Linked DNA regions of Diceros bicornis minor. The protein of the gene in region 1 purifies or fractionates together with the protein of each later gene. This does not show direct contact. Links are inferred from orthologs where the notes say so. Each region holds a gene or a part of one and is shown in the gene's direction. Other genes may lie near its edges.

Region 1 (7,189 bases):
GCGAAGCCCAGATTGTGACTGCAGACCCCACAGCCAGGGCAAGGGCAGCAGGACACGGCTCCTGCCAGTTCCCATCCTTGAAGTCAGAGTGGCTTGGGGGGCTCCCCACACTGCATGGCTCCCTCTTTCTTGCTTCCCTCAGACCCCAAGCTCTGGTGACTTGGACAAATGTGGGCCGAAGCACAGGAATTCCTCCTCCATGTTACCTCACCTGATCACGGCAGCGGACAAAACTACAACACTCTTCTCGGAACAGGAGCAGCCTGCGGGGCTCCTACCACCCCTGGCCTCTCCTCTGCGTCCCCTGGAGGTACAGGGACTTGTCTGTGGTCCCCGCTTCCCCTCCTTCCCTGAACATCTCAGCTCTATTCCCAAGCAGCTGGAGTTCCAGAGACATGGCTCAGATCCTGGATTTGCAGGGAGTTAGAGCCACTGAACCCCAAGATAAAAGACACCATGAGGGGACTGAAGGTGGATGAGGTGAAAGTTAAGGATTTGGGGAAGGCAGATAGCCTCCAAAATGGGCCTCTGACAACCATTCTCCTAGAGTAGCTATAAAGTGCTAACCCAGATGACCCAAGACAGTGGGGGTGGAGAGGCTCAGCACTCTTCCCAGCCTCCTTCAGGGCGCTGTTTAGACAGTGGGCCTGGTGGAGGGTGGGTGAGCTTCGGGCATGGAGGTAGCTTACAGAACAGAGAGGTCAATGAGGAAAAGAGAAAAAGTTTCCGATCTTTTGTATGAGAGCCTTGCTCTGGGCTGGGTGTGATCACCTCCTGGCTCAGAACTATCCACCACCTCACAGCCCAGCACCCATGATTGGTCAGACCTCCTGCCTAGAGCCTGTGACCCAGCTGGAGATGAAAGTGTCCTCTGTAGCGAACACATCAGGGCACAGAGCTCCAGCCCTCGGCCGCTCTGCCCCTGACGGTTCTGTAAGGACCTTTGGGACCCTAGCAGGCAGTGGAGTGCCTCACAGCTAATAAAGTCTGCACATTTCATGTTGAGTTGGGTGTGTAACTTACCTGAGGGTCATCAGGTTCTTGACTGTGCAATGACCCCAACATCTGTTGTCTTGTCCAAGCCCCTCTCAAGGGAGCTGTGTGCTGGGGACCTGAAGGTGGCTCCATCAGGCCCAGGAGCCCCTGGATCATGGGGCTCTTAGCCAGGCTGGGGTGAAGGGAAGCAGAGAGGTGCTGGCTTGGTGGCCATCAGGAATCATGACAACAGCAAACACTTCCATAACACTAACTGAGTGCTGGGTACCATGCTGACTGCACTGCAGATATTAGTTCACCTAATCTGCACAACAACCCTGTGGGGTTGATATTATTATCCCCATTTTAGAGATGTGGGATCAGAAGCAGAGAAAGACTAAGAAAGTTACCTAACCATATGAGGGGGACTTCTGCGGTGCTGTACTGTTCTGTTCCCTGATCTAGGTGCTGGTTACATGAGTATGTTTCAGGTTGTGAAAATACGTGCACTTCTATGTGTAAACTACACTTCAATTTAAAAAAAAAAACAGGGGCTGGCTTGGTGACGAAGCGGTTAAGTTCATGCTCTCCGTTTCGGTGGCCCCGGGGTTTGCTGGTTTGGATCCTGGGTGCAGACCTACACACCACTCATCAAGCCATGCTGTGGTGGTGTCCCTACATACAAAAAAATAGAGGAAGATTGGCATAGATGTTAGCTCAGGGACAATCTTCCTCAAGCAAAAAGAGGCAGATTGGCAACAGATGTTAGCTCAGGGCCAATCTTCCTCACCAAAAAAAAAAAAAAAGAATCTTGCCCAAAATTATAGGAAAAAGAGGATGTAATTTCAACCCAGATGGTCCAGCTTGAGAACATGTACAGTTAACTACTCCATTGAAATGGGCTATCGTCCAAAAAGTACCTGGTCACTGGTCTTCAGTCCTTTTTGTTCCAGTACTCCCTAAAAAATTTTGAAAATGTATTTCTCCCTTCATACATTTTTAAGTTGACGTCTGAAGTATTTCATTGATAAGTTTAAAGAGTTGCAAAGGATGTAATTTCCAGTGTGTTGTAAATATTGACACTTTATAAATGATACCATTTATATTGATCCATTTCGATCCAAATAGCATAGTGATTTGAGAGCCAACATCATTCATTTTAAAAACATCAGAACAAGCTCTTCTTTAACATTATTCCTTTTTTTCTTCTCATAATTCCATTCTATTCCTCCCACAGTTTATGCTACATGTAATTTATTTCCATGCTTTAAAGTCTATTATTGATAAACTTATCATATCTCTTTGCAACACAAATATATATATATGTTGAAATTTTAAAATCAATTTTTTGTAAACTTTCTAAGGCTTTACGGGTTACACTTAGTACAGAGTTGTTCAAAACAACATAAATATGTATTCAAATTCTTATAAAAACAAATTTTATTGGAAATGCATTTCTTAAAAAAGGGTATTTTCCTCTCAATTAGTTCATGTGTGTGGATGAATATCATTTTTTTATTAGAATAATAATATTCAAGGTTCAACATTTTTTTGTTGTTGTTAGGAAAATCAGCCCTGAGCTAACATCCATGCTAATCCTCCTCTTTTTGCTGAGGAAGACCGGCTCTGAGCTAACATCCATTGCCAATCCTCCTCCTTTTTTTCCCCCAAAGCCCCAGTAGATGGTTGTATGTCATAGCTGCACATCCTTCTAGTTGCTATATGTGGGATGCGGCCTCAGCATGGCCGGAGAAGCGGTGCGGTGCTGCGCGCCGGAACCCGGCTGCCGGTAGCGGTTAACCACTAAGCCACCGGGCACGCCCCTCAACATTTTTGTACCTATTTATTTTTTTCTTTTTTAAAAACTTACGCACAGAGAAAACTTGTTCACATAAGTAAGTAGATGGGAATCTAAGGGATTTGTTATATATGGCAGTGTCACTCAATTTGAATTCTTTCTGAGTTGTCTGTTAACAATCACATTTATCATTGAAAACTATATTTAATGATATCATCTAACAATTCAATACAATCCTTTAATTTTACTGAAAGCAAAGAATTGGAAACCATTTAAATTATGGAGACATTACCTAGATGGGACCCTCCTCCATTTCAAACTCACTGGCACAGGTATACTTAGGGCTTGATTCAAGCATTTGCCTTAGGACCCTCAGCGGTGAAGGAACGGGAGGGCAACCACAAAAACTTAGAGCCAAGCTGCTCGGGTCGCTGCCTACTGAATTCCAACCCTGCAACTCTGCGTGTTTCTACAATGGCCAGGAAAGCACGGGACGGTGGCCAGGAAAGCACAGGACGGCCCGACTGAAGCTGGCCTGGCCCTGAGTACACCGGCGGGCCTGCCCTTGGGGCACTGGGAGAACAACTCTCCGGCTTAAACAGGGCGTTGGCACGAGTGGGGAATTAAGGTGGTTCGCGTGTAGCGCGGGCCAGGCTGCCAGGCCGCGGGGCTCAGTGACGCGAAATGCAGCAGGCCCTCAGGAAAGGCAGAATTTTAATTTTTACTCGACAGAGTGGCATAGCCACTCGGAATAGCACCTGCACAGGGGGAGTGAGAGCACGTTACACAAGAGCTCTCGCTCTCGGAGACTTGGCCTAGAACTTGAAGGCCTGCCGCTCCGCACGCTAGCCTCCTATGCCTCCCACGCCCTCACCCCATTCACGCGCACTGCGCTGTTATCTCTCTGACTGACATCTTTGTCAGCCAATGACCTTCGGGACTGCGAAAGCGCCGGGGCCCCCCCCTCCCTTGGAATTGGGCAGGGCAAGTAATTGAAATGACAGACATTTACGCCAATAGTGAAGAGGTTTCAGAAGTTACGGTGCAATAGCCAATGAGAAGAAGGAACTGTTCGAACGGACGTGTCAGGCAGCCAACGGCCGGCGCCGCTGCGTGGGCCGCGTGGCTTCCGTTCCGAGAGGGCGGGGCGGCGTCTCAAACGGAAGGTGGTGGTTGTCCGAGCCGAAGCGGGTTTTAAACTGAGGGTCGGGCCCGGCCGTCGTTGTTTGTTGTCGCTGCCCCGCTTCCGGGCTAGGCCGTCTCTGCCCGCCCCCGCCCCGCCTCCCTTCGGACCCTCTCCGTCTCCGGCCCGGCTCTCTGCCCGACCCGTGCCCCGCCCGCCGCAGCCCGCTGTAGTCCCGGCCCGCCCTGCGGCCCCGCCGCCGCCACCATGTCCCTGCACGGCAAACGGAAGGAGATCTACAAGTATGAAGCGCCCTGGACCGTCTACGCCATGAATTGGAGCGTGCGGCCCGACAAGCGCTTTCGCCTGGCGCTGGGCAGCTTCGTGGAGGAGTACAACAACAAGGTGGGCCGGGCAGGGGCTCGGAACCCGGCTGGCGGGGAGCGGGCCCCGGGAGCGCCCTCTCCGGGCTGGACCCCAAACCCCAGGACCCTTCTGCGAACTTGCCTTAGCTTCACGGAGCGGTTCCTCTGAGTTTGGCCCTGTGCAGAGGGTTTCGCAGTCGTTGTCTCGTTTAATCCTGGCAGCGTTCCTGTGTAGTCAGGAGTGTGGTTACCCCCATTTTACTGATGGGGAAACTGAGGCACAGTGTTGTGACTTGCCCGACTCAGACAGCTGTTTCGTGGTGGAAACAGGTCTCAAACCCGAGTTTCCACCCAAATCTGTGCCCTTTATCATTCCTGTCCTCCTCCTCTCCTGCCGCATTGCTTCAGTTGTGGGGCGAAGGAGGTAAGAGAGAGGGATGGATATGAAGGAAAAGGCTGGCTCCTCAGTTGGTAGTCATTCACTCCTGGCTACACCAGATTTCTCTTAGGACTCTTCACTGCGCGGGCTTCCCCGCCCCCTACTCCCACTCTCTGGTACTATTCATGCCCCTAGCCCTTCTGCCAGGATTGCCATTGCTGTTGCTGCCTGATATCCGTCGTTTTCAAAGCGATCTCTTTCTGAAAATCTTGGCCCATGGCCGTGATCCCGCCGTTGTTTTCTGAGTAGAGAAGGATGACACTTGCCGTGTCTTTTCTTGCCTTCTTGCATGCTAATACAGCTGTGTAACCCGAGTAGTTAAGTTTCTGGACATCCAGAATTTGAGAACCCTTCCTAGAAGCACGGGTAGTAGGAGGTAGCTTTGAAGCTGGCAGTGCAGCATAAATTTATTTTTGAAAGTTGTTGAATAAGTCAATGGGGAGAATTTTCTTTACCCCTTTATCTCTTCCTTTTATTGTATTAGAGTAAACATTGTGATTGATAGTGATCAGAGCAACTGAAAGCCTTGGCTAATGGTGTTTAAAGCCTGTGCTCCTGCTTAACACCATGAACAGCATGATTTAAGAGAATAAAACTGTATGGACAGTGACAGGCATGGTGCAGGGGGAAAAAGCCAAATGGTCTAGGGTTGAGTCCTGTCTGGTCCATTGACTAGCTATGGGGCATTGCACAGGTCAGTCTTGTTTCTGACTCACAGTTTATTGTAGGAAAGGGGTTCTTTTTTATACATGAAGGTCATGTAAAAACTATTTGAACATAGTAAGTTTGGTTACAGTTTTTCAGGAGCACAGCTGTTTCTCTAGAGTTAGGTCTTAAATTTCTTTGGAATTCCCTTTGAGAAACTGATGAAAGTGATGGGCTCTCATTGCCCAGACATTACACGTACACAATTTACAAACAAATCCCAGGGAGTATGCACTGATCTTGTAGTCTACCCATTGTCCACAGAAAGCAGAGAGTCCTGAGTAAGACATAGCTTTATTTTTTTTTCTCTGATGCTTCTTTCTTCCTTATGGCCCATAGTAGACAGCAGAGCTGGGAATGGAATTCAAGGTCCTAGTGTGGAAACTGTGTTAGTCAAGTTGAGACCGCTAGAACTATTGTTTAAGGATACATGTTAAAAAAAAAAAAAAAAAAAGCAAAATATGTCTTTCAAGGGGCTTGAGTTTTTTTCACCCAAATTGATGTGTGTTTTTTTTTTTTTTTTCCTTGCAAGTTCTTCCAGCATCTATTTGGGTAAGCAGTAGTAGTCCCATTTCTAAGAAAGGAGAAACAGAGCCACAGTTAGGCTGCTGGTGGAATCAGTGGAGTAATTGACATCAAACCTCAGTTACAGTAACTCTGCCCCAAAGTTTGTCCTTTCATTTAGCAACTGTATAGAGCTCTTTCTTTGTGCCAGGCACAAAGGCAGTGTGGTCTTAGTAGTGAAATGCAAACTAATAATCCTAGTAGTAAGGGAACAAGCAGTTAACTATGTTAACTCACTCCAGTGATGTAGGCAATGCAGTGTCTTAAAACTGTTTTTGTGCCCCCACCTATCTAGGTCAGGGTTCTTAACTTTTGTGTGTGTGTGTGTGCACCATGGACAGCTTTGGCAATCTGAAGCCAATAGATCTCTTTTCATAATTATGTTTCCAAATGCATAAAATACATAGGATTACAAAGGAAACCAATTATTTTGAACTACAGTTATCAAAAACATTTTTTAAAAAGTGGTGATATATTGGGGCCGGCCCTGTGGTATATTGGGGCCGGCCCTGTGGCTTAGCGGTTAAGTGCGCGCGCTCCGTTGCTGGCCGCCCGGGTTCGGATCCCGGGAGTGCACCGACGCACCGCTTCTCCGGCCATGCTGAGGCCGAGTCCCACATACAGCAACTAGAAGGATGTGCAGCTGTGACATACAACTATCTACTGGGGCTTTGGGGGGAAAATAAATAAATAAAAGTTAAAAAAAAAAAAAGTGGTGATATAGTAATATGTACTTTTAAATTAACTCATTAGATTACACCATCCAGTGTAATTATTACTGTAATTTTGAAGTAGTAATGAGGGTAAATGCCATTTTAAGATGTTTAATTACTGTACTGTGATATGAAAAAAAAATCAGTGATTTCTACTGGTGACGGAGTCACAGATATTGATGCTGCTGTGAGTAGCTGCCTCTGTTTGTAATGGAAGGAAATGCTAAATTTCAGTTAGAGATTAGTGAAAATATGAATGATTCTCCAATTCAGGTTCACGGACCTCAAGTTAAGAAACCTGGCTGCAGAGGATCTGTGCCTAAGGGATGGTGGGCAGTAAATCCCACTTTAATGCAGTGATTCTCAGGTTCAGTTTTGGAGAAACCTTGCTTTGGAGGCGCCAGACTTCATAATTTAGAGGAATTGACGAATTACCGGTTGGAATTTTCAGACCATTGGTTCCTGCTTGCCGTCGATAGTGATGGCCAGCAGAGGACAGTGGACACA
Region 2 (7,599 bases), on another chromosome or scaffold:
GTAAAATTCTTATTCATTCATCAACAAACATCTATTGGGCACTTATGGCATTCAGACTGCCTGGATTCACACCCCAGCCCCACCTCTTAGCAGCTGGGACTTTGGGCAAGTTACTTAACCTCTCTGTGCCTCCATTTCCTCCTCTACGAAATGGGGTAATAAGGTAATGACAGGACCTACCTCATAGGGCTTCTGTGAGAATTAAATGAGGTAATGCATGCAAAGTGCTGACAACACTGCCTGGCTCTCAGTGTTGGCTACTGTGAGGATGATAAACACCTTGCTAGGCCATAAGAATACAAAGAGGATGGGCACAATAGAGCAGCATTCGCAGTCCAGTGAGAGAGTGGACAAGTAAACAAACAATGACAGATGCCATGTGATAAGTGTAATAATAGAACATAATAGAACTATGAGAACATGGAAGAGGGAGCTACTCGAGGGGGCTCCCTGCAAGGCTGGCTGTTCTGGTTTGCTCCCACTGTTCCTCTGCCCGTCTGGCCCTCTCATGCCCAAGCTGGGTCTGCAGCCCGGGGATGGGGCAGACGGAGGAAGCGCCTCCGAGTGCCCTGAGCGCAGTGCGCGAAATCAGGGCTCCCGGCCAAGACAGTAATTGCCAGCCGCTGAAAGATATTAAGCGCCAGGGAGGAAAACCAAGTTCTCTATGAGGCAGACTTTTCAGAGTTCTTACAGCTTATTAAAAAAAAAAAAATGTAAATAGTTACCCAGTGAGATATTACTTCACGTTGTTGCCATTAGGGTTTGAGTGTTATGCAGAGAGAGCCGATCATTCAGGCAATTCTGCCTCAGCGAGGATGGAAAGCTCCACGGTAACCCCACACAACAAACCTCCCACCTCTAGCTCTCCACCTGACTCAGGCATTTTTTCCTGGGTGGCGAATTTTCTGTAAATTGAAGTCGTGGAAAAAAATCTATAAATATTCAGAATTTCCTAAAGGATTTTCTTGATGGCTTGTGGGGGCATTTTTTTAAAAGACAGATTTGACTGGTGGCTGGGGGAGGGGGTGACTCTCATTTCCGGAGAATTCTTGGACAGCTTGGGTCTTCTGGTCTGTGCCCTCCGGATCGGTTGGCACCATGGCTGCTCTCCAGAGCAACTGCCCCACAGATGATGCATGGACCACAGCCCTCATTTACCTGTGCCTTTCTTAGTGCCAAGCACTAAACGTGTGACATGCGTTGTCTGCTTCCGGCCTCCCAACTCTGAGGTGGCCACTCTTGCGTTTCGCACATGAGAAACAACAGCTTGGGGAGGTTAGCTTGCCAGGGACCACCCCAGCATCATGGTTCAGAGGCCTGCCTCCCAGAGCCCAGACCCCAAGTGACCGTTCTGCCACTCACCCGGCATGTGACTTTGGGCAAGGGACTAAGTTCTCCACGCCTCCCTCTCTTCAGTTGTCAATGGGCATGACAACAGTACCTGATGTTTATCAAGTGCCCCACGCACAGAATTGTTATTCTTCACCACAATGGCACGGGGCAGTCTCCAGCAGCATAGAATTGTTACTCTTCACCACAATGGCACGGGGCAGTCTCCAGCAGCGCTCACCCCTGTCCTATTTTAATGGTGCTGCTCACTCCCAGGGCAATCTGAGAAGGGCCTGGATAGATGGAGACCCCTTAATCATACATCTGCCACTTTTCTGCAAGGGGAGGCCGTGTGCCATATACCCTCTGCGACAACGTCTTGCACGGACTTTTCAACCACACCCCTAGCACATGCTCTGCCTACAGCTGGCCCTCAATAAACCTGGCCCAACTGAATACTGAGCCTTATTCTCTTCTGGTGACAAGCCATTCCTTTGAAAGCTGTCCTTGCTTTAGACTACTAGGGCCCCTTTTAGGACTCTGTATAGGTTACAGGTTCAGGTAAGTGAATGTCAGATCCTGATTGTAATAATCCTCTAGCTGTCTTTTAATTAGGCTTCCGGCCTGGCTAATTATGGTGTTCCATGTTCTCTCCTAAGGCAAATGGATGGAGCCAGGCAAAGGAGCCCTGCTGCCCTTACCAGCACCCCAAAGGGAAGGGTGTCCCTACTCCCTTGTTAGCATTTTCCAATGTGGTGGGAGTAGGGGGACGCCAGGTCTGGTCTCCACCTCCACGCTGTCTGGCGCCCACTGTTCCTATCAGTGATTACTGCTGTGAGCTAAGGGAGTGGGGTTTTTTAAAGGACAATATATTATTACCTAGGCAAATTCCCCACCCGCCACCACGAGCCATCCTGTCCCAGCCTCCGCCTTTCTCCCTTTCTTTCATTCGTTCACTACCTTCTTCTTCTCTCTTCCTCTCCAAATAGAGAGTAAACATTCTATCATCCTCTGTTCTCCTCTCTCCTTTCTGCTGCCTCCTGCTCCTCTTTTCCTTCCAAATTCCTAAATGCCCTTTCTCTCTCTCCCCCTCCCCTTTCCTCCCAACTGATTTCCCATTAATCATTCCTAACACACACATCTGCTTGGGCCCTAGAAGGAGTTCTTGGTGGGCTTTCACAGCTGGGCTAGTTACAATAATCAAGAAGGAGTCTTTCATCTTTTACTGTCCCCTAGGTCTCCCCTCTTCCCAGCTCTTCCTCCTCCAAGGTGCCCCAAAGGCCCACCCTCTCCACTCTGGAAGGCACTCTCCTGTTCGCTGTCGGCATAGCAGTCTCCCAAAGGCCGAACGGCCCTGTAGGTTGAAGAAGCCCTGTAATGTAGTATTGGCAGTGACAGCAATGTCAGACTTCAGAGGCTGGCATGAGAAGAGCTGGGGGGGCGGGGAATAGAGACCACCACAATAAAATAAATGGGATCCCCCCCTGCTTGTATCCCTCTTGCTGCAGTATGAAAGACATCTCCCAGTCAGGGCAGCCCTTGGCATTTTTTTAACCTGTGTATTGCTAAGAGGTCCACTCATACTGCCCCAAAAATCAGCACGGATCCAGGGAGTAGATTTAGTTTAGTGTATGATTGTCATGGCCTGGGAGTGGTGCCTGCTGTCTTCACTGGGCATGATAAAGGTTCGTGATTGCTATTTGTTATTTCCGTGATAGTTATTTCTTTCTGTTTGAAGAGCCCCTTTGAAATCACCTATCCCCATCTTGAGTTCTCATGTTGTCTCAAGGCGCGGCAGAGTCGGGGACGGGTAGTCCTGGAGCAATATGCCCCGAGCGACAGGCCTGACAATCGGAGTGATGGATTGGGGCTGGGAAAGTGGTACTCGAAGCGAGACAGTGTCACCAGCGCGCCTCCACTGGCCGCCGAGAGCACGGAGACTTGGTCTAGCCGGAGGCCGGCGCACAAAGGACCAGCTTAACCTTCTGACGATCGCGGACCGGGAACTTTAATGTCAGGACTATGACTATGTAAAATCTCTGCCAAGTGCGAATCTGGCAACGCACACTTTATCCGAAAGGCGCGCGGCGGGGAGGGGGGAAGAGGGTATTGTTATTTTTAATAAAAAGTTTTTATTCCGAAATTTCCCTGGGAAAAGCTAGTGCATTACCCCTCCCCCCAACACTCGCAAGAAGGATGGGGGGAGGGGCCGCGCATCTCTGGAGTTTGTAACGACCTGCAGCACCTAAAGAGAGATCTCCCCTCCTCTGGGATACCGGCCTCTCCAGTGATCCCGGCTTCCCCCAAAATAGCAACTAGGCGCGGTGCAGGGCAGGAATTTTACGCCTCTAAACTGGATACGATAGCAAACCTGAAACACACCCAAACACCGAACCTATAAATCAGCGCGCGGCCACCGCGCGCCAGGCGCGTCGGGGGGTGCGTATAGCCAGGGGTACCGCGCTTCATCGCGACCATCTCACCCTGGAAGGGAGTCCTCAAACTTGCAGGCTTCGGACAGGACTGGCTCAAAGTAGTTGGAGCGGCTTACGCCGCGTCCCGAGAACCGTGGACGCCTCCGACGCTCGGACGCTTCCAAGCAAGCACTCCCGGGAGAAGCCAATTAGGGGAAGAGAGCTGAACCGGAGCAGAGCCCGAGCAGGGCTGGGGCTCTGGAGGCGCGGCCCGCCCCCAGGCGGCCTCTGGGAGCGGCTTGGACTCCGCAGTACCGGAGCCGGCGCCGCGCGCTCCTACCCCCCACCCGACCCCAATCCACCCCACCCCAGACACCCTCGGCCGGCGGGTCACTGCCCTCGCCAGCACAACACCCGGCGGTGTGAAGGGAAAGGAGAGAGCGAAAGGAAAACCAGCCGAGGGTAGGGCGCAGAGCCCAGGGTCCCGGGGAAGTCTCGTCCTCCGCGGGACCCCAGGGCAAGGGCGGCCCAGTGGGGGAGGGAAGGAGTACCGCGGGTGGTAAAGGCCGGGGCGGCGGCGGCGCGCAGGCGAGGCCCCTTTAAGGCTCTCCCCTCCCACCGGCGGCGCCGGCCTCCGCCCGCCGCTCTCCCCGCCCCGGGGTCCCGGCGAGAGCTGCGATTGGGCGGGCGCGGCGATCCCTTTGAAGTGTGGCTGCCGATCGCGGCTATTTGACGTGCGGCTCGCGGAAGGCGAAGGTTTTTGTGTTGCTCGCCGGGGCTAGCGGCGGCGGCGGGGCTGCGGCGGCGGCGGTGGAGGAGGGGTGGAGGCGCAGCGACTGCTGCACCGCGCCCGACGCTGCGGAGCGAGCCCACCCGCCCCGGGAGCTCGCCTCCCCGGTGCTCCCCCTCCCTCCCCGCCCCCCCAGTGGCGCTGCCTCCTCCAAATGAGCGATTCGCCCGCTGGATCTAACCCAAGGACACCCGAAAGCAGCGGCAGCGGCAGCGGCGGCGGCGGGAAGAGGCCGGCGGTGCCGGCGGCGGTGTCCCTCTTGCCCCCGGCGGACCCCCTGCGCCAGGCGAACCGGCTCCCTATCAGGGTCCTGAAGATGCTGAGCGCTCACACCGGCCACCTCCTGCACCCGGAGTACCTGCAGCCGCTGTCCTCCACTCCCGTCAGCCCCATTGAGGTCAGTCTCCTGGTCGCTGCCCGCCCAGCGCCGGCCCCATTGCGCCCACCACGGCCCGGCCCACGGCCCTGCTCCCTGCGCCCCGGGGCTGGGTGCGACGCTCGTGTCGGGCCACGCTGGCGGACGGAGTGAGGAGAGACGGAGAACAGAGGGATCAGAGCCCACCCGGTTCTCCCCAGGCTTCTCCGTGGAAGGTTCCCCTTCCACGCTCGCCCTGCGGAGCTACGTGTTTTCTCTCCGATTGGGTTTGCTCTTGGAGCCTCCACTGGGTCCTTTACTTTTCCTCTGGGCACCCAGTTTCCAGGCCAGAGATGATATCGCCCTGGCGTTTCCCACCCCCCACCCCCATCCCGGTTTGGTCTCTTTGAAGCTCGGTCGCCCCCGTCCCACTCCGCCTCTGTCCCATCCGGTTAGAGCTCACTACGCCCAGGCACTCCCGATCCCAGGTCTTTCTTCCTCCCACTTCCCTGGGTGCCCTCCCCGGGAGGGAGGGGCTACCAAGAGAGCGCCAACGGCAGCCCTCGCTTTAGCGCTTTAGAATGCGCTTCTCCTCACTCCTACCCGCGGCGCCACCGCCAGAAACCCGTCCCAAGCGAAGTTCCCCAAACTGAAGGAATAAGTTTTTCCCTGGACATAGAGAAGAGGGTGATTAGAGGGAAGGGGGAGTCACAGCCTCTCCCCCAGCTTCAACTCCAGAGAAGTCACCATGTCCCGCAGTGCCTTGGGTGGACTGCTTCCAAGGCCCCATTCCCCGGGGCCTGTGGCGCACTCTGGGCCCCCGGGAAGCGGGGGATCCCACCGACGGGCAGTGTGAGCGCTGTTCCGCCCAGCCGCCCCGCACGGCCGGCCCTCGCTCTCAGACCCTCTCGCCAAGGCCTTCCCGCCCCGTCCCGCCGCCTACCGTGGTCCCCGCGCCCCCCGCCCCAGCTCCCCAGGCACCCCCGCTTGCGCCGTCGGTCTCGTAGTCTCACCCCCATCTCCCTCCTCTTGCCGCTGTCTCCCACAGCTGGACGCCAAGAAGAGTCCACTGGCGCTGCTGGCCCAGACTTGCTCGCAGATCGGCAAGCCGGACCCGCCGCCCTCGTCCAAGCTCAACTCGGTAGCGGCGGCGGCCAACGGGCTGGGAGCGGAGAAGGACCCCGGGCGCGCGGCCTCGGGCGCCGCCTCCGCGTCCGCGGCGCTCAAGCAGCTGGGGGACTCCCCGGCCGAGGACAAGTCCAGCTTCAAGCCCTACTCCAAGGGCGCCGGAGGCGGCGACTCCCGCAAAGACAGCGGCTCCTCCTCGGTGTCCTCCACCTCCTCCTCGTCCTCCTTGTCCCCGGGAGACAAGGCGGGCTTCAGGGTCCCCAGCGCCTCCTGCACGCCCTTTCCCCCGCACGGAGCACCGGTCTCCGCGTCGTCGTCCTCGTCCTCGCCCGGTGGCTCCCGGGGTGGCTCTCCGCACCACTCTGACTGCAAGAACGGTGGCGGGGGTGGCGGCGGGGAGCTGGACAAGAAAGACCAGGAACCGAAGCCCAGCCCGGAGCCCGCGGCCGTGAGCCGCGGCAGCGGTGCGGAGCCCGGCGCACACGGCGGCGGCGCCGCCGAGGCCGGGGCCTCCGGGCGCAAGTCGGAGCCGCCTTCGGCGCTGGTGGGGGCTGGCCATGTGGCGCCAGTGTCACCCTACAAACCAGGCCACTCGGTGTTCCCGCTGCCTCCCTCCAGCATCGGCTACCATGGCTCCATCGTGGGCGCCTACGCCGGCTACCCGTCCCAGTTCGTGCCTGGCCTGGATCCTAGCAAGTCTGGCCTTGTGGGAGGCCAGCTCTCGGGGGGCCTGGGCCTGCCTCCGGGCAAGCCCCCCAGCTCCAGCCCGCTCACCGGGGCCTCCCCGCCCTCCTTCCTGCAGGGATTATGCCGCGACCCCTACTGCCTGGGAGGTTACCACAGCGCCTCGCACCTCGGCGGCTCCAGCTGCTCCACCTGCAGCGCGCACGACCCGGCCGGGCCCAGCCTGAAGGCGGGGGGCTACCCGCTGGTGTACCCCGGGCACCCGCTGCAGCCCGCCGCGCTCTCGTCCAGCGCCGCCCAGGCCGCGCTCCCGGGCCACCCGCTCTACACCTACGGCTTCATGCTGCAGAACGAACCGCTGCCGCACAGCTGCAACTGGGTGGCGGCCAGCGGGCCGTGCGACAAGCGCTTCGCCACCTCGGAAGAGCTGCTCAGCCACCTACGGACTCACACGGCCCTCCCGGGCGCGGAGAAACTTCTGGCCGCCTACCCCGGAGCCTCGGGCCTGGGCAGCGCCGCTGCGGCCGCTGCGGCCGCCGCCTCCTGCCATCTGCACCTCCCCCCGCCCACCGCGCCGGGCAGCCCCGGGTCGCTGTCATTGCGGAGTCCACACACTTTGGGGCTAAGCCGGTACCACCCCTATGGCAAGAGCCACTTATCCACGGCTGGGGGCCTGGCCGTGCCATCCCTCCCCACAGCTGGACCCTACTACTCACCATATGCGCTGTATGGACAGAGACTAGCCTCAGCCTCCGCGCTCGGATACCAGTAACTACAGTTCTGCCTCCCTCCCAACCCTCCTCTCCTCCCCGCTCCGCCTCCCTTCCCCCACCGCCTCGCCGCTGCAGCCTCCACTACTGCTTGTCCCTGCCGGCGTCCCCGCCCAGACCCTCCTCGCC
Region 3 (7,388 bases), on another chromosome or scaffold:
GGTCTCTCTTCTTTTCTCACCCCTCCAAACGCACCCAACCCTTAAACAGGCACAGAGTTTCTGAGAGCCCCTGCTTGGGGAGAAATTAGGAAAGACTTTGTCATGAGTTCCTCGGAATTGCACATTCCTGAGACAGCCCTGCCTCAGAGAAATAACCCGGGCTCTGAGAATGCTCTGCTTCAAAGAGTGTGACTGGGCCGAAGTGGTATATACGGTATACCAAGAGAAGGGAGAGAGAATAGGAAATATTTCTTGGCAAGTAGGGAAAGGGGACAGGGGAGAAAAAGAAAATTATTAGGGAACCAAGAAAGCAGCGGGAGAGGAAACAAAAAAAAAAAGAAAGAAGAGAGGGGGAAAAAAAGAGAGCCGGGGAGGCGAGCCGAGAAGACTGCAGGCCGTGGCAAGGCCCCGTGACCAGTCCAGGCAGCGGCTCCAGCAAGCCGTGTGCCTCCGCGGCCCCGAAAAGAGGCGAGGGCCGCCCGGGACAGTCCTACACCAGCCCCACGAGTCTGGGCCCCGCTCCCAGTCTGGAGGGGCGGGCCTGGGTCCAGCAGCCTCCTTGCACTCTTTCTCTACCCCCTCCCAGGGGACCACAAGGCGGGGCGGGACCGGGGTGGGGAGGCCCCCAGGGGCACACGCCAGTCCGGGACTGTTTGGGCGCTCTGGGCCAGGCTTTCCAGCTCGCCGGGCCTGACCTGTCAGGCGGATTATCTTCGAGGGAGATTAATAGGGGAGGCGGGCTGCAATAATAATCGTTTTGTTTGATGTGACAACTCTGATAGGCGTTGATTTACTTACAAACTGATAGGCTTTTAATTGAGCGCCTCCGCCGAGCCCGAGATGAAAGGCAAGCGGCGGTGAAAGGCGGCCCGCCTGCCCTCCGGCCTCAATACTGATTAGCCATCTCGACAGTGAATAGTTCAAGGCATTTTCAAACTTTTTTTCCTCAGCTCTCTCCCCTTCCTTCTCCTCCCACCCCCTCCTCAAATATCTGCCGTGCCTACTTCTTTTTTAGAGAAAACAAATCATTTCCATTGTGTGCAAATAAAACCCGCAGGACATCCACGACAACCGCCGCTGGGGGTTGGAGGCTTTAGGCCTAGCGCGGAGTAATTAATAACTCCCCCACCCCCACCGCCTGCGCAGCCTTCGGAGATTTGGCCTCCCTGGCGAGGTGCGCAGGCTCGGAGGCTGGCACCTCCCGAAAGCCCGGGGCGCGCAGGCCCCTAGGCGCCCCCCTGCGCTCCGACTTTCGGAGATGGGTTTTGCGAAGAGCGAATGCACGCGGACCACGATCCGCGCGCGCAGCACGGTGTAGGCCCCTGAGCGTGTGCGGCCACACCGCTGCACGCCCATTCCGGGGGTCGCGGGGGCCACTCTCTGGTTCCCCCAGGCTTTGGGTGCTGAAGCTGCTGCCTCTAAACAGCCCGGCGTAAAAAGAAAATGGCTAGAATTCCAAGAAAGGGAAAGAACTGAGTCCGGAGAAGGTGGGGAGGGGGAACGGGGGAGGCGAGGTGGGGTCACCTCCCGCTCTAGCCGCCGCCCCCAGCATTCAGTGTCTGGGCCTCGCGGGGAGGCCACGGCGACAGGCGGCCCACGGCTGGGCTCGCAGAGCTAAGGGCTCTACAGTTGATCCGGGCCGACACCTCGACAGCCGAGCACTCAATGACACAGACAGACACTAACACACCCGCAGGATACGAGTGGCCTCACAGACAGGCTGCCCTACAGAGGCAGTTTAGGACTGTCCTGCTCTCAGAAACGGGCACCTGGGACTCGCTCCCCAAAGACTATTCAGACAACCTTCACAACCTCTCCTGTGGCCTCGCCACCGTCTCACGGACTCACCTCCCTCAGTTGTCGCACAGGCAGACACTCCAAACCCCCTTGAACGCAGGTGTGTTCTTACACCTACACACGCGCACACATACACACACCAACAAACCGCAGCCCAAAATACACACCGCCTCACTCTCCTCTTCTCCAAATTATCTTTAGTCAAGTTACCATCTCATGAAGTTTACCAACCTAAAGAATCAAGGGATAAGATTAAAATGCAGGGGAAAAAAATGCCTACAAGATAATTCTAAAACTCACCCCAGAAAGTTCTCGGTACCTGTGCGGAGTGAGAGACAGAGACAAAAATGGGGGAGAGGGGAACGGGGTGGTGAGAGAGGAGAGGGCGAGCACGCCGAGGGCAGGTTCCAGACCCGACTCCCGCGCGTACCCGGCTCAGCTCCGGGTGAGCGCCGCTCGAAACCGGGTCTCCAGGCCGGGTCCCCGCCCCCCGTGCGGGTACAGACTGGCTCCTGGCTCCCTGCGCTCCCTGCCCCACCATTTATCAAAAGGACTTGACAACAAAAGAAGAGCCGTGGCGGAAAAGTGGGGGAGGGGAGATTCAAAGTCTTCCAAGTCCTTCCGAGGAAAGGAATGTGTCCTCCTCTCGCCCCCTTCCAGTTTCTGCGAGTTTCTGGAGGTGACCCCCGAACTCGCTCCGGACGCTACCAAAACCCTGGCAACTCACACAGCGGCACAAGCATACATACACACTTGTACACCCAGATCCAGGTACATGGAGACACGCACAGCGCCTCCCTTCTTCCTTCCAAACAGCGCGAGTGACAGTGCAAATCGAGGGGAACGCGGCAGTCCCGCTCCGCTTCCCTGGAAGAGCCGGTGTTCCCACAGGCAGCCGCCCCCTCCCTCTCTGGCTCCTTCTCTCTGCTCTCCCAAGCGCAGGTCAGTCCCAGATCGGCGTTCCCATTAATTCAAGCGAGCAGCCCGGAGTAACCCTGGCTACCAAGCTTGGAGGGATGGCGCGGGGTAGGGGAGGACTGGGGAGGTGAGCCTGAGTAAGCCTGAGACTTATCCCCCCCATACACCCACGATCAGGCCAGTTCTTCGCAGCCTCTCAGCACTAGCCACGATGGGGGAGGGGAGTCAAAAAATTGAGGCGGGGGCCAGAGGTAACCCCACCATTGACCTCTAGGACTCAAGGTGAGGCTGGCTCTTAGAAGTCTCCAAGTTTGGGGTCGGGGCACTACGGAGGGTGGGGTCCGCGGCAGGCTGGCAGCCTCACATCCGCACGCTACACGCCCCCGAGGGACTACGGCGGAGAGGGGGTAATATCCCATATAAGACGTCGCCGCTGCCCGCCTCGGGTACTGGGAGCCGCGCGGAACTCCGCGGCCCCAACGGACTGAAGTGCCCTGAGGTGGAAGGGTGTATCTCTCTCTCCGACACCGAAAGGGGCGAGGCGCACACCCCAGGCCTGCGCACCCATCTCACCGCCCTGGGCGCACCTGCGCACTTTACTCTTACTATTCATTTTCCTGGCACTGAGCGCCTCTTTCCCTTCTTCCATTCTTTTTCTTGAAGCACCCCCCACCCCCAATCCCAGAAGGCTGCTCCTCTTTCCCCCTCCTCCAGTTCCCCCTCGGTCTCTTCCTTCCTCTCTGTCTCTCTCCCTCTTTTTCCCTTCAAGTCGCACCCGCCTTGTAATCAGCAACAAAAGCTGACATAAATCACGGGCGGATTGACAAGAGCTGACAAATAACTGATTGATTGCGGTCGAGGAACATTGACAATTGATGGAGGAGTGGAGATGCCCAAAGAACTAGTGGGGGGGGGGCAGGGGGAGAGGAAGAGACAGGGTGGCAGGGGAGAGTAAGAATGGGAGGGGGGTTGAGTGTGAAACAGAGGAAACATGTGACCCCCGCTCTTGCCCCAATCTGCGCGTCCCCGGGCATCACGTGGCGGGGAAGGGCGGGGAGTGCGACGCACAGCTAGGAGATGAGCCGCCACCGCCTCCGCTGCCCACCTAGCTTCTGGTTTCTCCACCGCCCAATCTCGGGAAATCAAAGCGGGCGGGCAGACTTCCTCCAACACACGCTACCCACCTTTCCTTACCCTTGGGGCCATGCCGGGAGAGATTTCAATTACCGAGGAGAGAGTATTTGGTGTGGGGGCCTACTGTTCGCACCTAGAGTTGACAGTCCGGCTGTTGTCCAGACTCCCGCCGGTGCTCCTTCTGAACACCCCCTCAATCTGTTCCTCACATGCTCCCTCCTGCAAAAGGTTTCAGTTTATTTTCGACCTGAGAAAAGGAACGACGACGAGGAGGAAAAAAGAGGGCGGCGGCAGATACCAAACATAGAATAAATGTCCAGCTCGTCCTCGGAGCTAAATCGAGGGAGGGGACATGCAGGGGGGGGCGGTGAAGAGGGAGCTGCCCATTAAAACCAGCGCTGAGAGTCCTGGCGGCGGCGGCGGCGGCGGCGCGGGACGCGTCACATCCCCTTGACCCTCCAATCACCTCGGGCTCCCATTTGATTGGAAGGCGGCAAAGGCTTTAATCTCCCCCTCGGTGCAGCTGCTTTTGAAGTGAGTTTCCTCGCCAGAGCCCCGGCTGGACAGGCAGCGGCTCACATCGCAGAGCGCAGCGCCAGCGCTGGGCCGCGAGTGCGCAGCGCAGGGGCACAGTCCGAGGAGGACACCGCGAGCCACCCAGCACTCCTGCAGTCGGGCCGGCTCCTCCCGCTCGGCCGCGGCTCCGCTGCGGGCCACCCAGGATTATTCGCTTCTGGCTCCAGGCGCCGAGAAGGCGCGCTGGGCGCCCCTGGCCGCCGCGCCAGCTCCTCCTCCTGCTGCTGCTCCTGCTCCCCGGGCGAGCGCGCAGCCCCGAGCCCGCCCCGAGCCTCCCGGAGCCCTCCCCCCGCTGCTCCCATGCGCGCGGGTGGGTCATGAGCACAGCGCCCTCGCTTTCTGCCCTAAGAAGCAGTAAGCACAGCGGCGGCGGCGGCGGCAGTGCGGACCCTGCCTGGACCAGCGCGCTCTCTGGAAATAGCTCTGGCCCCGGCCCAGGCTCGTCCCCGGCCGGCAGCACCAAGCCTTTTGTGCACGCCGTGCCCCCCTCTGACCCTCTCCGCCAGGCTAACCGCCTGCCCATCAAGGTGCTGAAGATGCTGACGGCACGGACTGGCCATATTTTGCACCCCGAGTACCTGCAGCCCTTACCGTCCACTCCCGTCAGCCCCATTGAGGTAAGGACCCTCTCCTCGTATCGCGCTAGGACCACCACACTGGCTGTCGCTCCACGAGATTTCTTTCTCTTGGGATTGGGGGTGGGAGTGGGGGGCTCGGAGTGATTCAGCTCCGGGATAGGGGGCGAGGATAGTGCTCCCGCACCTTAAAACTAGAGCGGAAAGGGGAGGAGGTAGAATGCGGTGTGAATGCTGAGGGGCAAGGCAGCCAAAACTTGTCTCCCTTTGGTACTAAAGCCCCTGCCCCGACCCAGGCCCCCGCACTCTCGGCCCGGAAGACGGACGAGAGTCCGAAATACGGTTCCAAAGTCGCAGTCCTCCGCTTCCCCAGAAGCTGGTATTTGTACACAGCCTCAGGCACCAACTGCTCGAGCCCTTACTCTGAAGAATTAGGGATGTGTGTTGGGGGGGGGGGTACAGTTCTGGCGCTAGGAGTCAGAAACCAAAAGATTTTGTGAGTTTTTAAAAAAAAACCAGTTAGCGCTTAGAGAAGGCAGGAAAGATCCTGATTTGGGCGGCGGAGAGGGGGCTGCCGCCTTCTCAGGGGCGAGAATGTGTGTGTCGTGGGGGAGCCGCCTAGAATTACGCCTCGGGGCTGGAAAGATCTTCGAGGGCTGCTGCGGAGAGGCATTTGAACTCTAGAAGCCAGGATTCTAAAGGGTTTCCCGTTTTTTCTCTTTGTGCCCCCCGCCCCCATCTGACCCCGCAGCTTGATGCCAAGAAGAGCCCGCTGGCGCTGTTGGCGCAAACATGCTCGCAGATCGGGAAGCCCGACCCCTCGCCCTCCTCCAAACTCTCCTCGGTCGCCTCCAATGGGGGCGGCGGGGGCGGTGCCGGCGGCGGTGCTGGGGGCGACAAGGACGCAAAGTCGGGCCCCCTCAAGCTGAGCGACATCGGCGTGGAAGACAAGTCGAGTTTCAAGCCGTACTCTAAACCCGGCTCGGATAAGAAGGAGCCGGGAGGCGGCGGCGGCGGGGGCGGCGGGGGCGGCGGAGGGGGGGTTTCGGCGGAGAAGTCCGGATTCCGGGTACCGAGCGCCACCTGTCAGCCATTCACGCCCAGGACAGGCAGCCCAAGCTCCAGCGCCTCGGCCTGCTCGCCTGGAGGCATGCTGCCTTCGGCCGGGGGCGGCCCAGAGGGCAAGGACGACAAGAAGGACCCCGACGCTGGCGGCGGCGGTGGCAGCAGCAAGGGCTCCGGGGGTGCCTCGGCCGAAGGTGGACCCACGGGATTGGCGCACGGCCGGATTAGCTGCGGCGGCGGGATTAATGTGGACGTGAACCAGCACCCAGATGGGGGCCCCGGGGGCAAGTCTCTAGGCTCGGACTGCGGCGGATCATCGGGCTCCAGCTCCGGCTCGGGCCCCAGCGCGCCCACCTCCTCCTCGGTGCTGGGCTCTGGGCTGGTGGCACCTGTATCGCCCTACAAGCCGGGCCAGACAGTGTTCCCTCTGCCTCCCGCGGGCATGACCTACCCAGGCAGCCTGGCTGGGGCCTACGCCGGCTACCCGCCCCAGTTCCTGCCACACGGCGTGGCGCTCGACCCCACCAAGCCCGGCAGTCTGGTTGGGGCGCAGCTGGCGGCGGCCGCGGCGGGCTCTCTAGGCTGCAGTAAGCCGGCCGGCTCGAGCCCCTTGGCCGGGGCGTCGCCGCCGTCCGTGATGACAGCCAGTTTGTGCCGGGACCCGTACTGCCTGAGCTACCACTGCGCCAGCCACCTGGCAGGGGCGGCGGCAGCCAGCGCATCGTGCGCGCACGATCCGGCCGCTGCGGCCGCGGCGCTCAAGTCCGGATACCCGCTGGTGTACCCCACGCACCCGCTGCACGGCGTGCACTCATCGCTAACGGCTGCCGCCGCTGCCGGCGCCACGCCGCCCTCCCTGGCCGGCCACCCCCTCTACCCCTACGGCTTCATGCTTCCTAACGACCCGCTCCCCCACATCTGCAACTGGGTGTCGGCCAACGGGCCGTGTGACAAGCGCTTCGCCACGTCCGAAGAGCTGCTGAGCCACTTGCGGACCCATACGGCCTTCCCCGGGACAGACAAACTGCTGTCGGGCTACCCCAGCTCGTCGTCTCTAGCCAGCGCCGCAGCGGCCGCCATGGCTTGCCACATGCACATCCCCACGTCCGGCGCTCCGGGCAGCCCCGGGACGCTGGCGCTGCGTAGCCCCCACCACGCGCTGGGACTCAGCAGCCGCTACCACCCCTACTCTAAGAGCCCGCTCCCTACGCCCGGCGCTCCCGTGCCCGTGCCCGCCGCCACCGGACCCTACTACTCCCCCTACGCCCTCTACGGACAGAGACTGACCACGGCCTCGGCACTGGGGTATCAGTGAGGGCTGTC
Region 4 (7,659 bases), on another chromosome or scaffold:
AAATAGATTTTCTTTGTCATAAAAACAGGTAAAAACTTGTTTTTAAGCTCTTCCTTTTGGTAAAGTTGGGCTTTTTCATCTATAGTTCTAGGCTATAGATTTTTCACCTATAGTTCCAGACTAGGCTGGGATCTGGGCCTAGTCTCTGCATTATACCACCCCCTCTCAACAGCCAGCAGAAGCCTCAGTCCTCTTCCTGTCCTAAGCCTTACCTCACTGTCAGACCACCCACTGAGTTCCTGTTCTTTGATGTTTATAGCTCCAGCTTGCATATCATTTACAGAGTAGTAATAATGAGCTACCACTTTCTGTGGGTTTGCTAAGCACCAGACTCAATACTAAGTGCTTTATATTAAAACATACATATCATCCTGTCATCATTTTGTTGCCGTCAGACAACCCTAAGAGGTGGCTGTTATCCTTAAATTACCAGAAGAAGAATCTAAGGCTCAGAGAGGTTAAATAACTTTCCAAGGTCCCACAGCTAGTTAAATATCAAGGCTGAGATTCAAACCTGAGTCTCTGACTCCACACCTTTAACCCTTGTGCAGAGGTAACTGAGACATTGCTTACCAGGCAGAGAAGGCCTTTCCTGACTTAGTTCCCCAACTTCTCTTTGATGACTTTCTCCCTTCTTTCTCAGTTATCAGCTGTGGGCAAGAGAGTTCAGTTATGAGTTATTCATATTCTCCCAGAGAATAGTTTTCCAAAAAGAAAGGAACCAGTATTGAATACTTATTGGACCCTTATTGTGTTGCTTTCACATCCCTTCACCCACTACAGGTTTATAATATCATGTCATTCTTCTGCTCGAAGCTTCCCTTCTTTTTTTTTTTTTTTTTTGTGAGGAAGATCAGCCCTGAGCTAATATCCGTGCTAATCCTCCTCTTTTTGCTGAGGAAGACTGGCTCTGAGCTAACATCTATTGCCAATCCTCCTCCTTTTTTTTCCCCCAAAGCCCCAGTAGATAGTTATGTCATAGTTGCACATCCTTCTAGTTGCTGTATGTGGGACGCGGCCTCAGCGTGGCTGGAGAAGCGGTGCGTGGGTGCGCGCCCGGGATCCCAACCCTGGCTGCCAGTAGCGTAGTGCACGCACAGAACCGCTAAGCCACGGGGCCGGCCCTGAAGCTTCCCTTCTAATTGCACTTAGAAGAAAATCCAGATTTCTGACCATGGCTTTAAAAGGCCCTGCATGCTGGCCCATACCTACATCCCTGGTCTCATCTCTGACTACTCTGCTCCATGCACACTACTCCCAGCCATCCTGGTCTCCTTGCTCTTACTGGAATACATCAATCTCCTTCCACCTTACAACCTCTGTACTTGGTTTTCTTGCAGCTTGGAATGGTCTTCCTGAGATCTTTGCCTGGCCAGTTCCTTCTCAGACTTCAGGTCTTACCTGCTTAGAACAGCCTTCCCTAATAATCTTGTCTGAAGTTTTACCCTTTTCCTCCCATCACTCTCAGTCACATCGCTTTATTTCGTTTTATTCATAGCACTTTCCACCATCTGAAGTTATCATGTTTATTTGTTTACTTTGTTGGTTATTGTCAGTCTCATTTATTAGGTACGTTTTTTGAGATAGGCAGAAATTTTGTCTGACTTATTCTCTACTGTATTGCTAGGGCTTGTGACAGTGTCTGGCACAGAGCAGTCTCTCAATAAATGGGTATTGACTATATGAATGGATGAATGACTGGTGATCAGTCTGTACCAACAGAAGGAGAAGAGTGGTTCTCTGACAAAGGGGGCCTGAGAAATGGCTCCAGAGAGGGTGCCTATGTGGGAGAAGATTGGAACTTGGAGAGTGGGACCCTGACCTCTCTCCCCTTGCTTTGCAGGCCAGAGGCACCCAATGAGTTCTATGATGGAGACCATGACAACGACAAGGAAAGCGACGTGGAGATTTAAGAGCGGCTAGGCTTGCTGTATCCCAAGGAATTCCTTTTTACCTCTTGATTGGGTGGGAGGGAAAAGGTGTGGCTCCCCTAGCCCTGGACCGGTCACCTTCCGGGTTTTTACCAATGCTAGGGGAGGGTTTGGAGACCACATCTGGTTCTCGAACCAACTATCCCCTTTCCTCTCCTTCCCAAGGCCTGACAATGGTACCTATTAAGGATTGGGTGGGGACAAGGATAGCTGTCTCTAGGACATCTTAAGCAGTGGGCCCTACAAGCCAATACCAGCCCCTCTGACCCCCTTATTCCTTCCCTGCTTCCCTCCAACCCAGAGACTTTGAGGGCTGAGGAGTAGACAGGACTGAGGTTGCCTCTGACTTCCTCCTTTCCTGGGTCCAACTGCAGGCCTTACTTCCAGTGCAGGTGAAGATTGAGGGATTTTAGGGGCCTCTGGCTCCCTAACACCTTGAGCCCAGATGATGAGAAGTGCGGTTTTGAGTTGGGAGAGGATGTGAAAATGTCCTGTTCTGACTTTTGGTTTTATGTCCATTTTACCACTGTTTTTATCCAATAAACCAAGTTGGTATTTTTTGTACCTTTTGCCTTTCTGGTAATATTCTTAATTTTTGCTAGCTGCCCAGATATGACAAGAGAGGAAATGGAAGTGATGATGTATATAATAAAAATCATACTTAACATTCATTTAGCACTTATGTTAGGTATATGTATTCTGCATGGATTATCTTACTCATATATAGGGAGTTAATAGAGCATTCTGGTTAAGAGTTAGACAAACCTGGGCAGATTACTAGCTTAAGAGAGGGAGCAGAGGATAACTTCAGGTTTTTGAACCTGGGCATTTGGAATGGTGATGCTGGTTGGTGAAGATACACTGAGATAAAATATGTCAAGTGCTTAGCACAGTACCTGCCATAAGTAGTTGCTCATTATCTTAACTGTCTATGTGAAGAACAGTGCTAGATACTGTAGTACCTACAAACATGGTCCCTTCCCTGGAGGAGTTTACAATCCAGTAAGGAGTGAGATAAATGCTATAGCAGATGTGGACAGTGGTACAAGAAAGAAGAGTAATAGATGGGTCACTCTTTCCATGCTTGGATCCTGTCTGCTTCTCAACACTCTAGCTTAGAAAGTAAGTAGCTTTTGAACTGTTTTGGACAAATTGAGTTCAAAGTGTGGGCTGGACAGTTCTATGCAACTTTTCATCAAGCAAATAGAAAGTGGAACACGAGGTAAAGGCCAGATTTAGGATCCAGCCAGTTTGGCGGAGTCCCTGTAGTATACTAGGCCCTAGCCTGAGCACTGGGGGCTCCAGAGTAAGTCACTGACTCTGCCCTCCAGGGACATACATTTGAAATCTTTTGCCAGCTGTGGGCAAGATAATGTTGTCCATACTTTGAGGCCCTACTAGGTACCACTTACTTTTCACACAAGAGACATGTACCTGGGAGAATGGATGAAATTACTGAGGGGGAAATCAAGCTAGTAGAACAAAGAACATACTCTTGGAGAACACCTGTTCTTTTCACTCAGGTTTGGTTTATGTCAGTAGGGAATCCTGGTTAAACATAGGGCTTGGCAGTCAGACTAACCTGGGTTTAAATTTTCTATCAATTATGTGTTCTTGGGCAAGTCACTTCAACTCTCCAAGTTCCAACTTCCTATCTGTAAAATGGTGAGACTAGTGGAATCGATCACATGGCATTGTGAGGATTCAGTGAGAAAATACATGTAGAGGGCCGGCCCCGTGGCTTAGCGGTTAGGTGCGCGCGCTCCGCTGCTGGCGGACCGGGTTCGGATCCTGGGCGTGCACCGACACACTGCTTCTCCGGCCATGCTGAGGCCACGTCCCACATACAGCAACTAGAAGGATGTGCAGCTATGACATACAACTATCTACTGGGGCTTTGGGGGGAAAAAGTAAATAAATAAATAAAAATTATAAAAAAAAATACTTGTAGAGTGTTTTGCATAGTACCTGGCAGAGAGCAACTGCATTGTAAATGGTAACTATTATTACTGTTTAGGCATAAGTTGGCAGTAAGTAGTTTTTCCAGATTAGAAACACAACTAGAAAATAGCAGACCTGGGATTCAAAACTAGGTAATCTAACTCCAGAGCCAGTCGAGTTCCAGTCTAGCACTTGCCCTGCACCAAGCTCTGTTCTTGGCACATAGCTTTCAATAAATGGTAGCTGTTACTTCTTTATTTTTTCATGTTCTCCATAGGTATGGCCCACATAAAAACTGTATTATCCTGGAAAGCCTGGCACTACATTTTCTGCCAAGATAACAGTCTCTTATGCGAATTTTGGTTCAGATAATATCCTGGTCTGGGGTGTCAGAGGGTCCAGGTTTTACAGCCACGTGGGCACTGTGTGGGAGCGGGGAGGCCTGCGCCGCTCCAGCCTCTAGGGGGCGCCGTTCCCTGTTGAGGCCGCAGAGAGTTGCACCGCCCGCTCACCACCCCCCCACGTGAATCCGAATGGTTAGGCCCGCCGGGCAGGTAGCGCGTTTCCGCGGCTTCCCTCCACCCCTGTCCCTTCCCCCATTGGTAGGGGCTGCGGGTCCGGGCGGAAGTGGGGCACGCGGGCGGGAGCTAGGCGTCGCCGTTGTATATTCATGAGGCGCGCGCAGCCGGCATGCTAATAAGGCGGGGCGCGGCAGCGGGCTAAGGAGCTGCTGGGCGGCGGCAGCGGCAGCTTGCTCAGAGCTGCCGGGCGGGAGCGGCGTAGGCGCAGGGTCACTCTCCAGCGCGAACCTGGACATGGAGCCGCAGGGCGGGGGCCTGGGGCCCGGCCGCGGGTCCCGGGACAAGAAGAAGGGCCGGAGCCCGGACGAGCTGCCTTCGGCGGGCGGCGACGGCGGCAAATCCAAGAAATTTGTGAGTGTCCCTCCCGCCCGGCTCCCTCAGCCTGGCCCCGTAACCGCCCACTGGACCCCGGAGATCCCCGCAGCCGGCCCCAGGGGTGCACGCCGGTCTCTAGGGAGCCGCCTCCGCGCCTCCCTTCCTGGTTTTGCTCGGTCCTGGGCTCCGCAGCCCAACATCCTAACCCCCCGGGACCTCGGGGAGCCCCAGAGTCCCACCCGGCTCTTGCCCCGGCAACCTCGGGGCTTCCTTCGTCCCCTAGCCCGCACGCTCTGCCTCCGCCCCCATAGCCCCGGCCGGTCTCAGCCCCATCTCTTCCCTCTCAGCCCCACTTCCTTTCTTCTTCCTCTATTGCCCGAGGTATCACTATCTTGGTTCTCTGTGCTTTTCCGGGTCCATTTTCGCTTATTACCCTTCCCCCCTTTTTTGGTATTCTCTTCTTTGCCTCTCCAAAGGTCACTTCCTTCTCTGAGATTGATCCCTTTCACCTGCTAACTTTCCTCCCCCCCGAGTCCCACCTCTGGGCCCTCAGCCCGGTGTCACCTGATAATTCTTCCCCTCAGGAATGTTACGTGACTTGAGCCCTACCTGCCCTCCTCCCTTGGACGTGTCCTGGCGATTGCAGGAATGGGTTGCTGCCCAGGTGCTGTGGTCACTGGTCATGACGTGAATTTGCTTCCCAGTAGTTCTCTATCCAGAGAACCTGTCTCTCTGCCCTGTTGCTTATCACTTTTCAGGGAGGTACAGCTTCTCTCATGCTCGTGCCCTTCTTGAGCTAGGATGGTGATAAACCTCCCCCGTGGGGAGGAAGTTAGTCGGCAAGTCCAAGAAGTTTGTGGGTAACTGTGTTGCTTTTTATACATTTCCCATGATAACCATCCTCTACTCTTCTGCCACCTCTTGTGCCCCAAGGCTACTGAGATCCCTTTTCCCACCTGTAGAAGAGTGTTGCTTTCCTCAGGTGCCAGTTACTTCCAATCCGAGTCTGAAGGAATACTGATATTCATGTAACACTGTCATTTTTCTTTACCTTTGCCCACACTAAATGCTCTTTTTTACTCCTTTCTCCAAGGAGCTGTTTGCTGCTTACGGTAAATGCTTTGAAAGATATGGGGCACTATCCAAGAGAGGGAGAGTCTTGTATCTTAATAATCATTTGCTAGTTGTACCTGTAGTTACTTAGTCTTCTCTTCCAGGTAGTCACACCCCCACTCCAGTATCTCTTTTTACTAACCAAATGGCTTCTCTTTCCTCTGTCTTTCTCTTATCCCCACTTCTTAGCGTTCTGACCCAACTTAAGTTTGAGAAGAAAACTGACAAAGTGATGGAAACAGGAAGAAAGTGTTGCTTTGGGACCTAGAGGGTTGAAGCGTGGAGGGGACTAAACAGAATTAAAATAGTGACTCATCTCTTCCTATTTCTAGCAAGGCAGGTGCTTCTAGACTGTCCTTTCCAGTGACTTACAGGCTGTTAGTAACTGCCTGTTTTTATCTGGCCAACACCGTTTTTTTCCAGAAATGTAAATAGTAGTGGTGACCCTCCCCATATGGTGACTAAGGCAACATTTCCTCGTTTCTTTAGGATAAGACTCAACCCTCTAGTTAGAGAGCTTTCCTCCTAAGACTTAAGTTCTAGGGCCCCTATTCTATTTCTGTATCTTTTTGTTTTGCTTTTGTTTCCATGGGTACTGTTTGACCTTCCTCACCCGAATTCCAGCTACTCCTGCTGATTTATAGTGACCTCTGTGACTTGTAAATGTTTTTCAAGTACTTAATAGAATTTTATGTGTGCTTTTTTTTTGATCTAACACTTGTGTGTTTCACAAATTTGTGAAATCTACTAAGTGTGTGGTGCTGAAACACCTCAGATACCTGAGGAAGCTGAACTTCTTTTCACCTGTTTTTTGGAATGTCCATGGAGTCTTGTATATGCTGAGTGGATTTGGCTCAGAGCTGTTGGTATTTGCTTTGGAAGAAGGTGGAGCTGAACCAAGTTCTCTTTTTCTTAGGTGTTGGTCTTAACTCTTAACCTGCTGAATTTTAAAATGTATGTAGCATTGCACTGAGGAGAATTGCACTGGTAGCTAGGGGATTGGAAAGTTTCTAGGAAAGTAGTGCTTCTTACCCCCTTTATTGCCAACTATAATGTACCTCAAGGCATCAAAATATTGTCTTTCTCATTGCTCTTTTTATGAGAACTCCGTGGAAATGAGAGACTAGGAGGAGCATTGCAATCCACTTCTCTTTGTGGCTGTGTATGTATATGTGGGTGGGTGGAGTGGGTGAGATGGCTGGTGTGCTTTTGTTACCCATGGCTTAGTTTTCTTGAACTACAGGCTAAAAGTGAACTCAAAGCTGTTTCGCCTACTCCACCTTTTCTAGAGTGTGTCCTCTGGAACTCCGTTAAGAATGTACTTTATGAAACTGCACTGGTTTGTGACTTAGTGTGTGCGAAGGTTATTTGTTTGCATCTGAGGGGTTACTAATCTCTTTAGCTGCTGCGTACCTTTCCAGGCTTATGCAGGTTCTAAATACAGATCAGCTGATGAGAACAGAGCTCACAAATTGCCTAAGATCTACTCTTACCTCCTGAGGCATTTGTGTGGAAAGGACATGGAGTCTGAGCTTAAAAAGTGGTTGGGAATCATCTTTTAAAAACACGTGGTGGTTAGAGTTCTGACATTTGTGGCTGAAGCCAGGCTACTTGGTATTCCCCCTTGGTTCTTCCCCCTTGGTTCTTCATAAGTCTGTCTTCTCCTGGGCCATGAGCGTGTTTATCCCTTCTCTGGCATTATTCTAGTTCCTTTCAGAAGTCCTTAAGATGAAGGAAAATAAAAATTCTGAATGAATAGAGTGTTTTCTGACTTTTCA

What was found.
Region 2: the proteins of DCAF7 (region 1) and ZNF703 purify together in Homo sapiens (co-immunoprecipitation; 5 studies listed by BioGRID and IntAct, counting the BioPlex papers as one, with this or other methods). This does not show direct contact. The link is inferred for Diceros bicornis minor from reciprocal best matches to the Homo sapiens genes DCAF7 and ZNF703.
Region 3: the proteins of DCAF7 (region 1) and ZNF503 purify together in Homo sapiens (affinity purification with mass spectrometry; 4 studies listed by BioGRID and IntAct, counting the BioPlex papers as one, with this or other methods). This does not show direct contact. The link is inferred for Diceros bicornis minor from reciprocal best matches to the Homo sapiens genes DCAF7 and ZNF503.
Region 4: the proteins of DCAF7 (region 1) and DIAPH1 purify together in Homo sapiens (affinity purification with mass spectrometry; 5 studies listed by BioGRID and IntAct, counting the BioPlex papers as one, with this or other methods). This does not show direct contact. The link is inferred for Diceros bicornis minor from reciprocal best matches to the Homo sapiens genes DCAF7 and DIAPH1.

Annotation. Positions count from the first base shown.
Region 1 is NC_080757.1:46,427,208-46,434,396, forward strand, and holds the start of DCAF7 (DDB1- and CUL4-associated factor 7), read left to right. Parts: upstream 1-3,977; 5' UTR 3,978-4,163; coding exon 4,164-4,301; intron 4,302-7,189. Other genes in the region: KCNH6 (potassium voltage-gated channel subfamily H member 6), read left to right, coding at 143-427. UniProt on the Homo sapiens protein: Involved in craniofacial development. Acts upstream of the EDN1 pathway and is required for formation of the upper jaw equivalent, the palatoquadrate. The activity required for EDN1 pathway function differs between the first and second arches.
Region 2 is NC_080768.1:34,456,155-34,463,753, forward strand, and holds the start of ZNF703 (zinc finger protein 703), read left to right. Parts: upstream 1-4,399; 5' UTR 4,400-4,687; coding exon 4,688-4,930; intron 4,931-5,936; coding exon 5,937-7,472; 3' UTR 7,473-7,599. UniProt on the Homo sapiens protein: Transcriptional corepressor which does not bind directly to DNA and may regulate transcription through recruitment of histone deacetylases to gene promoters. Regulates cell adhesion, migration and proliferation.
Region 3 is NC_080745.1:31,464,390-31,471,777, forward strand, and holds the start of ZNF503 (zinc finger protein 503), read left to right. Parts: upstream 1-4,307; 5' UTR 4,308-4,742; coding exon 4,743-5,042; intron 5,043-5,751; coding exon 5,752-7,380; 3' UTR 7,381-7,388. UniProt on the Homo sapiens protein: May function as a transcriptional repressor.
Region 4 is NC_080740.1:59,774,199-59,781,857, reverse strand, and holds the start of DIAPH1 (protein diaphanous homolog 1), read left to right. Parts: upstream 1-4,610; 5' UTR 4,611-4,687; coding exon 4,688-4,804; intron 4,805-7,659. Other genes in the region: HDAC3 (histone deacetylase 3), read left to right, coding at 1,844-1,913. UniProt on the Homo sapiens protein: Actin nucleation and elongation factor required for the assembly of F-actin structures, such as actin cables and stress fibers. Binds to the barbed end of the actin filament and slows down actin polymerization and depolymerization.